3 linked regions of the Drosophila melanogaster genome follow. The protein of the gene in region 2 purifies or fractionates together with the protein of the main gene of each other region. This does not show direct contact. Each region holds a gene or a part of one and is shown on either strand. Other genes may lie near its edges.

What was found.
Region 1: the proteins of ATPsyndelta (region 2) and Cpr78E fractionate together in Drosophila melanogaster (co-fractionation; one study listed by BioGRID). This does not show direct contact.
Region 3: the proteins of ATPsyndelta (region 2) and ATPsynF purify together in Drosophila melanogaster (affinity purification with mass spectrometry; 2 studies listed by BioGRID, with this or other methods). This does not show direct contact.

The regions. Positions count from the first base shown.
Region 1 is NT_037436.4:21,665,952-21,669,020, reverse strand, and holds Cpr78E (cuticular protein 78E), read left to right. Parts: upstream 1-2,040; 5' UTR 2,041-2,064; coding exon 2,065-2,076; intron 2,077-2,142; coding exon 2,143-2,544; 3' UTR 2,545-2,569; downstream 2,570-3,069. Other genes in the region: CG43980 (uncharacterized protein), read right to left, coding at 3,001-3,069.
Region 2 is NC_004354.4:10,211,287-10,218,198, forward strand, and holds ATPsyndelta (ATP synthase, delta subunit), read left to right. Parts: upstream 1-1,683; 5' UTR 1,684-1,788; intron 1,789-1,994; 5' UTR 1,995-2,000; coding exon 2,001-2,199; intron 2,200-2,273; coding exon 2,274-2,485; intron 2,486-2,812; coding exon 2,813-2,875; 3' UTR 2,876-3,710; coding exon of another isoform or gene 3,711-4,835; 3' UTR 4,836-5,262; coding exon of another isoform or gene 5,263-5,268; 3' UTR 5,269-6,107; downstream 6,108-6,912. Other genes in the region: CG2962 (uncharacterized protein), read right to left, coding at 3,711-4,835, 5,263-5,268; CG15308 (uncharacterized protein), read right to left, coding at 6,810-6,912.
Region 3 is NT_033778.4:24,598,585-24,602,110, forward strand, and holds ATPsynF (ATP synthase, subunit F), read right to left. Parts: upstream 1,238-3,526; 5' UTR 1,183-1,237; exon of another isoform or gene 1,116-1,182; 5' UTR 1,112-1,115; coding exon 1,033-1,111; intron 914-1,032; coding exon 669-913; 3' UTR 508-668; downstream 1-507. Other genes in the region: CG13587 (uncharacterized protein), read left to right, coding at 1-249, 315-507; CG3548 (uncharacterized protein), read left to right, coding at 1,464-1,801, 1,877-2,396, 2,525-3,028. UniProt on the Drosophila melanogaster protein: Mitochondrial membrane ATP synthase (F(1)F(0) ATP synthase or Complex V) produces ATP from ADP in the presence of a proton gradient across the membrane which is generated by electron transport complexes of the respiratory chain.

The sequences.
Region 1 (3,069 bases), on a different chromosome or scaffold from region 2:
AAAAATAAAACTATTTTCGTATGGCGTGCATATAGACGCTCGATCATTAGACGGCAGCAGAGCCGCCACTTGGCACAGTTTTCCAGAGCACAGATTGGACCATAAATCAATCGAACCAAATTAAATTAATTCAATTCAATTCCAATCCAAATCCCAAACAAGAACCAATCTCATCACGGCTCCATGTGTGCGGATCGGTATGTGAAAAGTGGATACACAAATTCTAGTCGATTTGTCTTTTTCCGCTTACTGGCGTTTCAATTCCACAACGACAGGAAAGGGAAAAAGGCGTATTTACTATGAGTTTGCTCAGCGATTTGCAGGTGATCCAGGTGTATATAGTATTAGTAAGTATTTCATCGTTTGGTGATATACACTCGAGAATATATTTCATCTGACTAATCAAAGTCAACTGACGCAACGACGCATTCAACTCATTTTACGGCTCATCTGCGATCATTATCATCAAAATCATGAGCATCTAACAAAAAGTCATAAAGTCGCCAAAGCCGAAGAACTCTAATTAAGTTTAAAGATAGAACTTTTCATGTTTTCTGTGCAGCTTCGTACGTTTTAATGATCTTTTGGTAATTAAAAGTTGTGAATGGCAGCGAAACTTTCAGTGCAGGTATATAAAATCGTACCGAAAATTATTCGGAAATAGCTTATAAAAATCTATTGAGTATCGGAACACACAGGGGGACAACACCCAATGACTAAATTCCTAAAATTACAGCATTTGGGAATACGTATTCCCATTCACTGGTACAAAGCACATTTGGAAATCAAACACCAAGGCAGAGAAAACTCAAAATCGTGCCAGCAGTCATGTGCTTAGTAATTTTTCTGATTGCTCAATACTCAAACGGTATTCAGGATTTCGATTAATAATTAATTATAACACAGCCCGAACAAAGAAACAATATTTGCCAGATTCCCCGATCATGCGGAATCGAACAAATTGCTTCGTCCGCCTTCAGCGATCCAATGGATCCAAATCGGGGCATCTTCGACTTGGCAAATGTATCGAAAATTAAATGTAAAATTTATTGTTGCATAAACAGAATGCCAGGAATCGGACCGCATCCGAATCGAACGATGCGTATGTGCCACCTTTAAGTATTCAGCCCTGCTCATCCAACCATCCCACCTCCATCTCCACCTCCGGGCCCATCCCCATGCCCATTCCCAATACCGTCCCCTTCTCCAGCTCCATCATATGGGTCCCCAGCATTTACATCTTCATCTGACCGGCTGGTACTGCTATGTGGAACGCATATAGTATGGTCGGCTGGAGAGGATGGAAGATTTGGTGCAGCCTCATGCCCACTGGCCAAAAATAACATCAATGGGAGCAGGCAGGAATCAGCGCGAAGACGGACGTCGTGTGTTTGCTTTGTTTATAGTTTTCGTGTAAACAATTGGCAGCGGAAAACCGACTTCCCGCCGTGTTGGCGTTCGAGAAAAATTGAATCTGGAAAATGCCCAAACAACACAAGCAGCTGAAGCTCAAACAATGTAATGAAAAGTGGCCAGGGCAACCGAAATAGAACTAATGCTTATTGGTCATTATTTTCCACAAGCTAAACGAATACCTTACGAAAAATGAAGTAAAAATCTTCGACTTAGAAATAATTTTTAAAAGTAACATATTTTCAGTGATCTTTTGAAATGACTGCAAAACATCTTAAACTTTTTTTTTTAATTCTCCCGAAACCGAATGCTACTATAGCAGAGATAAGTAAGTGAGACCCTGATCCGGGGTCGAACATAAATTAGGAATCTCAAATTGCAGGCCGAGATTCGAAATTGCAATGGGAGATGGCAGATGGGCCTGGGTAAGAAGCTCGCTCTTTAATTAATTCTTAGAACGGGTTTCAAGTAAATACCCGCGGACTCAATTTGTACATATGGAGTGTATGTAAGTGAGTGTCTGGATGCCGGACGATAACCGGTAAACAAGGCGACCAGCAATTCCAATTCCACTTCAGTTTTGGAAATATAAAGAGCAGTCTTCCCTCACTCGGAGTCAATTCAAAGCCAGCTTCCCCTCCAGACAGCAGCATGTTTAAGATTGTGAGTATCGCGCCGCCGAGAGGCGATCACTCCAAGGATTAGCCCATTCCTAAACCATCTTTCCAGCTCATCGTCGCCCTGTCCCTTTGCACGGCCGTCGTGCTGAGTGCTCCAGTGGACCACGTCACATCCACCACCCAGCCACCGGTGGCCATTCTCGAATCATCTCACGAAAAGCACGAGGATGGATCGTACAACTTCTCTTACCTCGGCGAGGACGGCACCCACAGAAGGGAGGAGGCCGTGGTCAGAAACCAAGGCACCGAGAACGAGTACCTGGAGATCAGCGGCTCCTACTCCTACTTCGATGCCAACGGACAGGAGGTGACCGTCACCTACAAGGCCGATGACCACGGATTTGTACCAGAGGGCGGAGCAATCCTGCCCCAGATTTCGCTGGCCGCCAAGCAGGTCAGCGAGCAGGTGCCCCAACCAGATCTTGACTATGCTAAGCCTCCTAAGGTCTAATAAACGAGGCACTGAAATGGAATCTAATTGGTGTTGTTTTAGTTGTGTTCTCCAGCAAAACATCCAGATATAATTGCAAAGTAATGGCTGAGAACTCGAAATCTCCGATGAGGGAAAGGTGATTCAATATTTGAATGCTGCCTCCATTCAAATGAAAGATTTGGTAGTTACAATTTTACTTCCTTCATTTAATGCAGAAACAATTTCAACTACCAATAATAGCTAGAGGACCGCCTGCTCGGCCATCTTGGGGTTCGTAGAGGTTAACAGTGCGCTGAACAAATTGAAAATACAAAAATACAACTAGGAAGGTGGGAAAGGAGGTCGGGGCGGGCAGGGAAACTATTATAATACATAAAAGCTCAGAGATTAAATTAAAAACAATGCAATAAATAAGAATTCGATTTCGTCGAGAGAGAAGTGTGTGGAAGCAGAGCTCCATCACTTCACTTCACTTCATTTTTTCACAGGCGTGACCGGGGGCGATCGGTAGGAGTTGACCAGACCACCACCCGAGTTGGGCTT
Region 2 (6,912 bases):
TTGAGATTGACAACTAATCATAAAGATCGGATGACAAGAAAACCTACATATAATTTTGCCTGAATCAGATAGTACGAAGGGTATACACTTTTCGAAGTATCTAAAAGTACCGTAACAAAAAACAAAAGGAGCAGAAGATGAAAGCGAAGAAGCAAAAAGAGGAGCAACGACCCAACATTGTTGTTGTCTTATGCCGCTGCTTCTTTGCGATGTTGCCGTTCCGCTCGCACCGCTATAGCTTGGGGTCAATAGCTAAGGATCGGATCTGTTGTATATATGTTTATATAGACCGATTGCGGTTAGTTCTCTTATCAGAAATAACATGAAATATATTGCGTTGCGACGCCACTGGCGACCGCGACGCAGGCAGAGGGCAAGACAGCGGAGAAGAGAGTGAGTGAGAGTGTGACGGCGGAGAGAGAGGTAAACAAAAATACACAAACACATACACATGCGCGCTACAGCTGCTCGTTCACATGTGTATGCGGGCCTGTATGTGTGCAACAAACAAAAAGCAGAAAATCCTTCTCTTCTTCACACCCTTTTTCCACAACAAAGTCAGCTGTGTGTGTGAGGAATGAACTTTAAGGCAAGCTTTCTGTTTCTATTTTTTGCAGAGTTTTTCCAACTGAAAGGCGCAATTTGCTAAGACACCTATACACATACACGAAGAGCCAAGCAAAATAGAAGATATAACAAAACAAAATAGAAAATAAGCAGAGCGAAAAATATATAGACAGCTATCTATGCACACAAACACAAACATGGGGAAACACTGTTGTTTTTCGCAACTGCGTTTCGCCTGCAGGTGCGACAGAGAGGGCGCGAGTGGGTGACAAACTTGGGTAAATGTTGCAAGCACTTACGTCCTGTGTGTTTTGTTTGTTTGTTTGTTTGCTTGTCGCCTTTCGCTGTCGTTCGCCAACAAACACCTCAGCGCAGAGCACACACGCGACACGCACACACTCACACACAGTCACAGAGACGTGCACAAATAGCAGCCGAAAATGGCACTCTCTTCTTCTTCACTTGTATAATAATGCAGCAATCTGCATTGTTTCGTTTCTATTTCCAATTGGAATTTGTTGTTGTGCTGCCTGTGCCAGTGTGACCAGGTAGCGCGGTGGCTAAAAATAGTCGCTAACGCCAGTTTTGAATGTTGCGCGGGTAAAAGATTCGTGAGATACGAAAAAACTCCGAACTTTAATAAAAGGATCTAATAAAAAAGGAAATACTGAAAAAGAAACTAAACAAAATCAAAAACACCAGATTCATAACAGTATAAATGGTCGCATGGTTATGCCATGTAAACACACCGTTATTAATCAAAGTCTTAATCTAATAAAGGAAATTTCATTTTTTAAATTATAATTTTTGGAATAAATAGTTTTTCTTTTAATATCATTTTTAATGTACGATCAAAAGCAATATACAAAAAATTTAAGCTTTTAATTGGCGATGCCAGACTAATGAATTAAAAGAATAAGTGTTGCCACTAAAAGTTTATTGGTCTATATAATTTGTTTATTGATTGAGGCACTTTATTATTATAATTAAAACACTTAATTATTATGTGTGAAATGATTGCACTTTTTATTTTGTAAGAGCCTGTTGCGTATTGAAAATTTTGTATTTTGTCTTGTCCTCTAAATATCGTAAAAACGCGTTATTGCTAGATAAGTTTTGTATTCCCGGCTGGTCACTCTGACTTAAACGTTTTTCGCAAAAACAGCGGCTGATCACTGAAGTTTTCTCGTGTTTTTCGCTATCAAACCGAAATAAAAACAGGTGAAAATAACTGATAAATTGAGGGGTAGTCCACTGATCACAGTGCCCGAGGATTTGCAATGAAAAGCGATCGAAATTTGAGCTGGGGAAACGCAATAGCAGCCGCCGCCTAACCTACAAAGTTACATAATTTGGTTATTTTGTTGTTATGCTGGCTGGCTGTGGCAGAAAAGACTTTTAATCCTGAATTTATCCTCTCGTTGCAGCCCAAAATGTCCTTCGTTAAGAACGCCCGTTTGCTGGCCGCCCGCGGCGCTCGCTTGGCCCAGAACCGCAGCTACTCGGATGAGATGAAGCTGACCTTCGCCGCCGCCAACAAAACCTTCTACGATGCCGCTGTGGTGCGCCAAATCGATGTGCCTTCCTTCTCGGGATCCTTCGGCATCCTGGCCAAGCACGTGCCCACTCTGGGTAAGTTCGATCATTCAGTTTCAGTTGCCTCGAGATGGTTATATCACCGTTGGCGAATCTCTTTGCTATTGCAGCTGTCCTGAAGCCCGGCGTTGTCCAGGTGGTGGAAAACGATGGCAAGACCCTCAAGTTCTTCGTCTCCAGCGGTTCCGTCACCGTCAACGAGGATTCCTCCGTTCAGGTTCTGGCCGAGGAGGCCCACAACATCGAGGACATCGATGCCAATGAGGCGCGCCAGCTGCTCGCGAAATACCAGTCACAGCTTAGCTCCGCTGGCGACGACAAGGTGCGAATCTAGTCAAGAAGTTGCATAGTAGAGTAGTGTCTAGAAAGTAGAAGTAGTGGTCCAGAAAGTACAACTCAAACAGACTCTTTTGATGGAAACACTGCTTCCACCATTCACGCCAACTGGCATTTAAGTTACTAAACGATTTCTATGTGCCCATCCTTTTTACTTGATATACTTTCTTTGTACAAACAAGTTTGCTCTTAAATTAACGCTTACACATTCGATATTTCCATGAGTAAACTTATGTTTGAGTTGCTTTTGCATTCTGTATTGCACATTCTGAAGCTATCTAAACGAGACTTAACCACGATCCTTGTTTTGCAGGCCAAGGCCCAGGCTGCCATTGCCGTGGAGGTCGCCGAAGCGTTAGTCAAGGCTGCCGAATAGACGTAATCACCACACAACCGCCACCAATAAACCACAATCGATGCTTTGTGTCTGAAATAAATAAAAAACATAACGATCACCTTAAAAAGCCAGAGAGTTATGAAACAATAAAAAAGCGAATCATAATATCGTATTAATGACCCGTGATCCACCAGGCAAATGATTTTTTTTTCTTTTTTTTTTCATGTTATGCCGCTAAACTGTGTGTTTATATAGTTTATAATATATGTATGTGAGCTGGTGAAGAGAAATGTGTAATATTTGCTCGCTGTGGGATAGACCGTTGATATGATAATGCTTTGGCAATCTTTAAGTCAAAAATATGAGTGATTTGCATTTTGGCCGAAAGAGACGAACGTCGTTTCTTTTTCCCTTGCCAATTTATGCAAATCGCATAAGCATAAAAACTTACAATTTGTAAATGAGCTCGTCTTTCATCTTAACAAATAGTATAGTTTGTATTTCATCTGGTGTGTTGCATTCATGGATAGTTCGCATATCTTATCTCGGATGATTGTTTAAATTTCTCTCAAAAGTAGTAATAAAAAGCAACTTTGTTTTTTTTTTATGGAAACAAGAATTAATCAATGGCTAAAATTATACTTTTGGCAGATAGAAGATAATCCATTTTGAAACTCTTTATAAAGATGATAAATACTATAGAATTGAAAAAAGAAAATTGGATTTTTTTTTTTTGGAATTGTCTATGTATTTGGTAACAAAAAAATGTGTTGTAAAAAAAATGTCTTAAATTAACTCATGGCGTTGTGTGGGAATGGTAATATGCTGTCGATGTAGTTAGCAGGAAGGTCCTCCGATAGATTGGCGAATTGTTCTAGTATCCCGGTGGGCCGTAGGTCTGGGCAGGGGCGTGACCGATGGGCAGGGACTGCTCCTCGGGAGCAAAAACGGGTGCAGGAGCGGGATGTGGCACACTCAGGACGGGAGCGGGTGCTGGGGCGGCATAGACTGGAGCTGGGGCAGGAGCGGAGTAAACTGGAGCGGGAGCAGGAGCGGAGTAAGCTGGAGCGGGAGCAGGTGCGGAGTACACTGGAGCGGGAGCAGGAGCAGAGTACACAGGAGCTGGGGCAGGAGCGGAGTACACTGGAGCGGGAGCAGGTGCGGAGTACACAGGAGCGGGAGCAGGAGCAGCATAAACTGGAGCCGGAGCTGGAGCAGCATAAACTGGAGCCGGAGCAGCGATCTCCTGAGGAGGCAGGTAGGAAGCGACTGGAGCAGCCACTGGTGCGGGCACATCGATGGGGGCATAGGCTGGACCGGCAGCTGGAGCGGAGTGCTCATGGATCACACGCACCACCTTGGTGGCTCCACCCGAAGAGTAACCACCGGAGGAGTAGCCACCCGACGAGTAGCCACCCGACGAGATGCCGCTGTCGTGGCTCTCGTGAACGACCTTGATGACCTGGGACACGGCACCGCCGCCAACCGAAGAGCCGCCGATGAAGGATGGTCCAGCCACGGGTCCAGATGCCACATTCACCACCTTGACAATCTGCGGAGCGCTCTCGACCAGCGGGGCACTCACAATGGGTGCGGATTCCTGCAGGATCTTGATCACCTTGACGGAGGAGGGGGCGGGCCCAGCTGGAGGCAGATAAGCGGGTCCAGGAGCGGGTCCATAGCCACCGCCGCTGCCGCCAGAGATGACCTTCACCTTGAAGATCTGGGGAGCCGCCTCGTAGCCATAGCCGCTGCCATAGCTAGCGCCGGAGGAGTAGCCAACGCCGCCCTGCTGATGGATCACCTTGACCACCTGGACTGGGCCACTGGGTCCATGGCCGCCATAGCCGCGAGCGCCACTACCACCGCCGCCGCCTCCGTTGCCACCACCGCCTCCGAGGTTAAGGCCGCCACCACCGCCTCCACCGCCGCCACCGCCGAGGAGTCCCAGGAAGCCAGCGTTGGCCACAGCGAACAGAGCACACATGCAAACGAAGACCTGGAAGGATGGCAGAGTATAAGAAGCGATTTAGTTTCATGTTTCATGTTGCATCCTTAGAGGATTTTAAAGAATATATAAAGTTCATTAAGTTTTTGTTATGTTTTCCAATTAGAAAGTAGAGTTTTATCGCTGGTTTTTTTTTCTATATCTTTAAAGGATCTTTGATCTTCATAGACTGTATTTTCCAAATGGATATACTTTGTATTCATTCTTTGTTTAAATATTTTCATTTTCAATCTTCTGATATTCTTCAGCACACTTTGTATTTGAATATTAACTATCACTTCTTCGAAAGTTCGAAAGAATTTAAACTGAGCTCAGGATGCTCTTGCCACTTTGTCACTTTTCAAATCAGTTTGGATAAATAAAAAAAAAAAAACTAGAAGAGGATATTTGCCGGCACAGGACATTGTGAGCAGCTCACCTTCATGCTGACTACTAATCCACTTGATGCGATGATACCAATTCCAAAAAAAAAAAAACGCCTTGAGTGCCGATGAGCAAGCGACTGATGTCCGATCGATTGGAGACCAAGTCTTTTATACGATATAAGCCAGCAAGGGCGAACAAAAGGCGTTTCATTAACATTTCCAAACTGCCCATCAACGCCATCATCATCATCGCCACGATGATGAGCAGCATCATGATGATGGGCTTTCGTTTTCATTTCGATTTTCACCAAATGCTGCTGGACGCACCCAAAAGTGCCAATCGTCGTGGTTGGTTCTTCCATAGCCAGTTGGATTCGGAGCTACCAGCTACCAGCTACCAGCTACCAGCTACCAGCTACCAGCTACCAGTTTCAGTTTCATCAAGTCTTACGCTGCATTTCCCAAATTCCGAATGGGGATCCCACAATTAGCATGAAAATGAGACGCTACGTTAGTGATAAGCTCGGAATGGGGCTTTCATATTTCGTATTTTTTTTTTTATTCGGCATCTTATGTTTTATGGTTTAGGTTTTCGTTTTCATTTTGATTTTGATTTCGATTTGGATTTTGGATTTTGGTCAATTCAATTTGCATACACGGGCGTGCTGCAAAGCGGTTGCCTCACAAGGCGGCCGGCAGTCTGTCATAAACCAAAGCGAAAACCTAACCCAACCCAACCCAATCCAATCCAATCGAAACCAAACCAACCCATTCCATTTCACCTCATCCGGCAATTTCAAGGTGAATCTGAATCGGAATCTGTTGTCAAGCCGAACCATCTCATTGATGGTGGCTATATTCCATCTATATGCAGGTATTTATAAAACGAGCCGATTATTATGCAAGCCACCAGTCGCATCTTCGAGCCATGTAAAACGCATTATGTTGGCCCAATAGGCCAAAGATGTTGTAAAATTGGCCAACGGTTCGGATCAGTGATATCTGTTGGCGCATTTTAAATAGCCACTAAGTATTACATACTTACAACAATAAACATATGTTTATTTACACAAATATTCAACATAATCAACTGATGTGCATATATATATATATCCATTTAGAATCATATTTCTACTCAGTTTATAACAATTTTATAAAATACTATCAAATTGTTCAAATTGGTTATGCTTTTCGGTTAAGAAACGTATTAATTTATACCAAAAAAAAAAGAGATTTTCAGTGGGCAGATCAGATTGGTGGGAAATCAAGTAATATCCAAGAAATGGTTGGCTAACCTGCACTCTGCCACTAATCGTGATTATGATCTTGTCGCGGTCTATTATGGTTTGTTAATTGATCCATGCATGGAATGCATCTGTTGAGAAACTACATACATACATACATAAATATCTATATTAGTGCATCTGCAATCTCGAAACAAGTTTGGCTCAAATCTTCAGTTCAATATAACTTTTAACTTATATACATAAATATTTAAAACGATATATTTGAGTTTTGCTAGTATATATTTGTTCGTTCTATTCAAAGTTTATTTCACATCAAAAGTACATGTAGTGGTATCCTTTCTCGTGGCATCCATCTACTTCTGCTTCAACCATCCACCATAGGACTGCACCAGTGGAGCATCGTAGATGGGGGCCTGTCCAACGCGCACCACCGAGGGCACCACTGGAACGGACTCG
Region 3 (3,526 bases), on a different chromosome or scaffold from region 2:
CTCCTCGGAGTTCACTGGTAGTCTGGCCCACATCGCATCCGAACACAGAACCAGTTTATTGGCCCAATGGCTAGTGGAATTCAACAGGAAATCACAGTCTCTGGCAGAAGGTAATGTCTATCTGGCCTATGTGGGTTTGGCCTACAACAGCTCAACGTCATTGAGCCCACTGGACTTCAGGAACTCCCAAGGGGAGAGCTTGCAGTGCTTTCTTTACAGAGCCTGGGATGGTGGTCATCCTCGAGTTGGGTAGGCTGACAGTTTATTAGGTTAGCCGCCAATGCTATCTTCTCTAAATCTAACCGAATTTGCAGTGGTGATCTGGGCAACGCCAGCTGCGTGGCCTTGACGCCGCAGGGAACCTGGCAAACCCTGAACTGCGACCGGGAGCTGCCCTTTATCTGCGAAATCCACACGGCCCGGTCAACTTTCGGCTGGGAGCAGTCCAGTTCCGAGCTGGACATCGGCCCAAATGCAGTCTTCGAGTGCGGAAGAGACCGAGTCTGAGTCTATGGCAGCATGGATATTCGCAGCCGTTTTATTCACTTAAGCAGTTTTCAAAACACAAAAGCCAAATAGATATAGTTTAGTGGTGATTGCCCGCCTCTCGCACGCCTTGTGGAAAGTGTAGAATCTGTTGCAGATGCAGGACCACCGGGCAGCGCCGCTTAGTGGTACTTGTAGTTCCTGTGGTGCTTCAACTTGGTGTAGTTAATCAGATAGAAGAACGTCATGCTGGCGACGGTCAGCTGGAAGAAGGGAGCGATCCCGGCGCGCTTTGGGAACACGTACTTGTGCTGCCAGCGCCACCAGGCACGGCTCACAGCTCCGGCCACAGCGTTGGGGGTCTTGTTGCGGCGTCCCAGCCAGGCGCCGATCTCGCCCAGCTTGACCTGGCCGAAGGGCACATCGGCTGCGGATCGGAGAGAGCGGAGAGGTCGGAAAGTTGTTTAAATTATGTAAAACGCTGCACATTTTTGGGCAGTGCAAATGTGCTCTGTGCCTGCCGCAAAAATTACGTAACCTGCTCACCTTTGCCGTAGAAGCGAGCGGGGTCGTAGGGCCCGTGCACCTTGGGGTTGTACTCAGCTGGATAGTCACCGAATGCCATCGCGCTGGTTTGGTTGAGATATATTCTTAAATCGGATTCTTATGAAACATAAAATTACGCCTGCTACTTACTTCCTTCGATACTGACAGTATGACCAAAGCGGCGAGAGCTGGGATTTTCATCGACCAATATACCGAAATATACTATGTGCGAATTTATTGTGTGCGTCTCCGCTAACAGGGAGGATGTATTCGCTACGTCATCGATACAGCGAATATATCGATGCCCGATGCACGATGCACTTCTCACATCACTAAGCTCCAGTATATACAGAAATCAAATAGGATTTTTGCAAGCCTGGGCATTCGAATCAGAATCCAGCCAAAGCGAATCCAGTGTGTAAACAAAAACAATGAAACTGGAGGAGTTGCTGACCAAGGGAGCCTCCTCTCCGCCGGAGGACGACGACGAGGACGAGAAGGTGGAGCTGAAGCCGCAGAAGTCAAGCAGCGCCACCGCGGACGAGGGGGCGGAGAACGCGGAGGATGCGGCCGAGGATGCTGGCGAGAAGGAAGGCGCGGGTGGCAAGAAGAAGGGCACGCGCAAGAAACGCTCCCTTAACTGGGAGGAGGCGGAAAGGGGGCTGCTCCTTGAGGTCATCAAGTCCAAGGTGGCCTTCGTGGAGAACCGGAGCGTGGACGCCAAGAGCATAAAGGCCAAGCGTCTGGCCTGGTCGCAGATCACCAAGCAGTAAGTTGCGCCATTGGGCAGTGGAGCTCGTCTTATAATGGCCCTTCACTCCTTCCATTCCAACCCCCCATCCAGGTTCAATGCCCTTAACTTCCGCCATCGCCTGCTGGAGCAGATCCAGGTGCAGTGGCGCAGCATGAAGAACTCCGCCAAGCGGGAGCACCAGCAGAAGCATCCGAAAACGGAGGCCCTGGAAGGCATGCGGATGATCGAGTTCCTGGAGGAGATGCAGAAGGATCCGGTCACCTCGCGCAGTCAGACACGCAGCGCGAACACAAACGGCGCTCTTAAGAAGGAGCTCATGGACATCGACGAGGACGAAGACATGCCGCTGGCCGCTCTGCCCAACTCTACGAACGCCAGCGAGGACACGCTGCAGACCTCCACAATAGCCATCCCCTCGCCGCCGCCCTCCACTGCTGGCGGAGACGGGGACTCCCAGCAGGAGGGAAATCCCGCCCAGCTGCCAGCCCAGCGACGCAAGCGGACCAAGGCCAAGCAGTCGCCCTCGGGCGCCAAGACAGAAACGTCCGGCGAAACGGGGGAGGAGAACGAAAAGGGCGTAGGCCCACCACGAAAGCGGCGACAAAGGAATGTGAGTTTGAACACAAGCCGCAAGTTTATTTATTATTATTAATTAAGGTTTAGCTGAACAAGTTGCAAATTTTTGTGAAGGGGAATCTTAATCTTTCTTACTAATAATACTATCTCATCGTTAACCAGCTCTCACAGGCCCAGTCGCTGCTGTCCGACGAGAACGAAGCCTCCACCAACGCAGCTCCGAGCGCCACCCCAGTTGCAGACACAAATAGCCAGTCCTTAGATTTGGTCGCCGCCACGGAGATAGAGCAGAAGTACAAGCAGGACCTGTTTAGGCTGCTCAAGCAGGCCCGTCTGGCCGAAATCGACTACGCCCGGCGGGAACACGAGCAGAAGCTGCGCTTCGAGCAGATGGAGCAGGAGGTGAAGATGGCCTACTACCGGCAGGAGCAGGACCTCAAGCTGCGGCACATGCGCGAGGAGCACGACATCCGGCTGCGGCAGCAACGACGGGAGCACGAGGCGCGCCTGGGGATCTACTCGCTGAAGAGCGGTGGCCTGAACGGAAGCATACAGGATCAGAGTTCAGCAAAGTGCAATGCCAAAGCGGACTACAACAATGTCCACGAGGTCGGGCCATCGACCAGTGCGGAGGGGGCGCTGGCGCTCAATGCCGCCTGCAACTAGGGGCGTGGCTGTTGGCCCATATGCATATACAATACGAAGAGAGCCAGCAATTAGGGTGTAAGGCATTTAGAGGAAACATCAACAGTACTTTAAAATTTAGCTTGAAATATGTTTAGCGAAATGTAGCTCTTCCGGTCAGCCAGAGTAACCGGAAACGGAAACGTAAACGCCGGACGCGCATACAATACTCATCGACACACTCAAGTTGCCACTCGGACGAATGGACTGTTGTTTATTGTGCAATTCGCACGAGACGAACTCACAGGCATTGCATTTTCAAGAAATTAGTATTACATAATTGTATCCGTATCTGTTAAGTACTCCGGGCGAAGAGATCAATTCAAAATGCGGTTGTGTCGTCGAAAAAAAAACAAACTCGAAAATACTCATGCACAGACTCTGAATAAGTTCCCCTTTGCAGAACGCAATTTACTCATCAGTCAGTATTCTCTATGGCCACTGTATTATTTTTATACCTTCATTTGTTAGCTTTAAGTT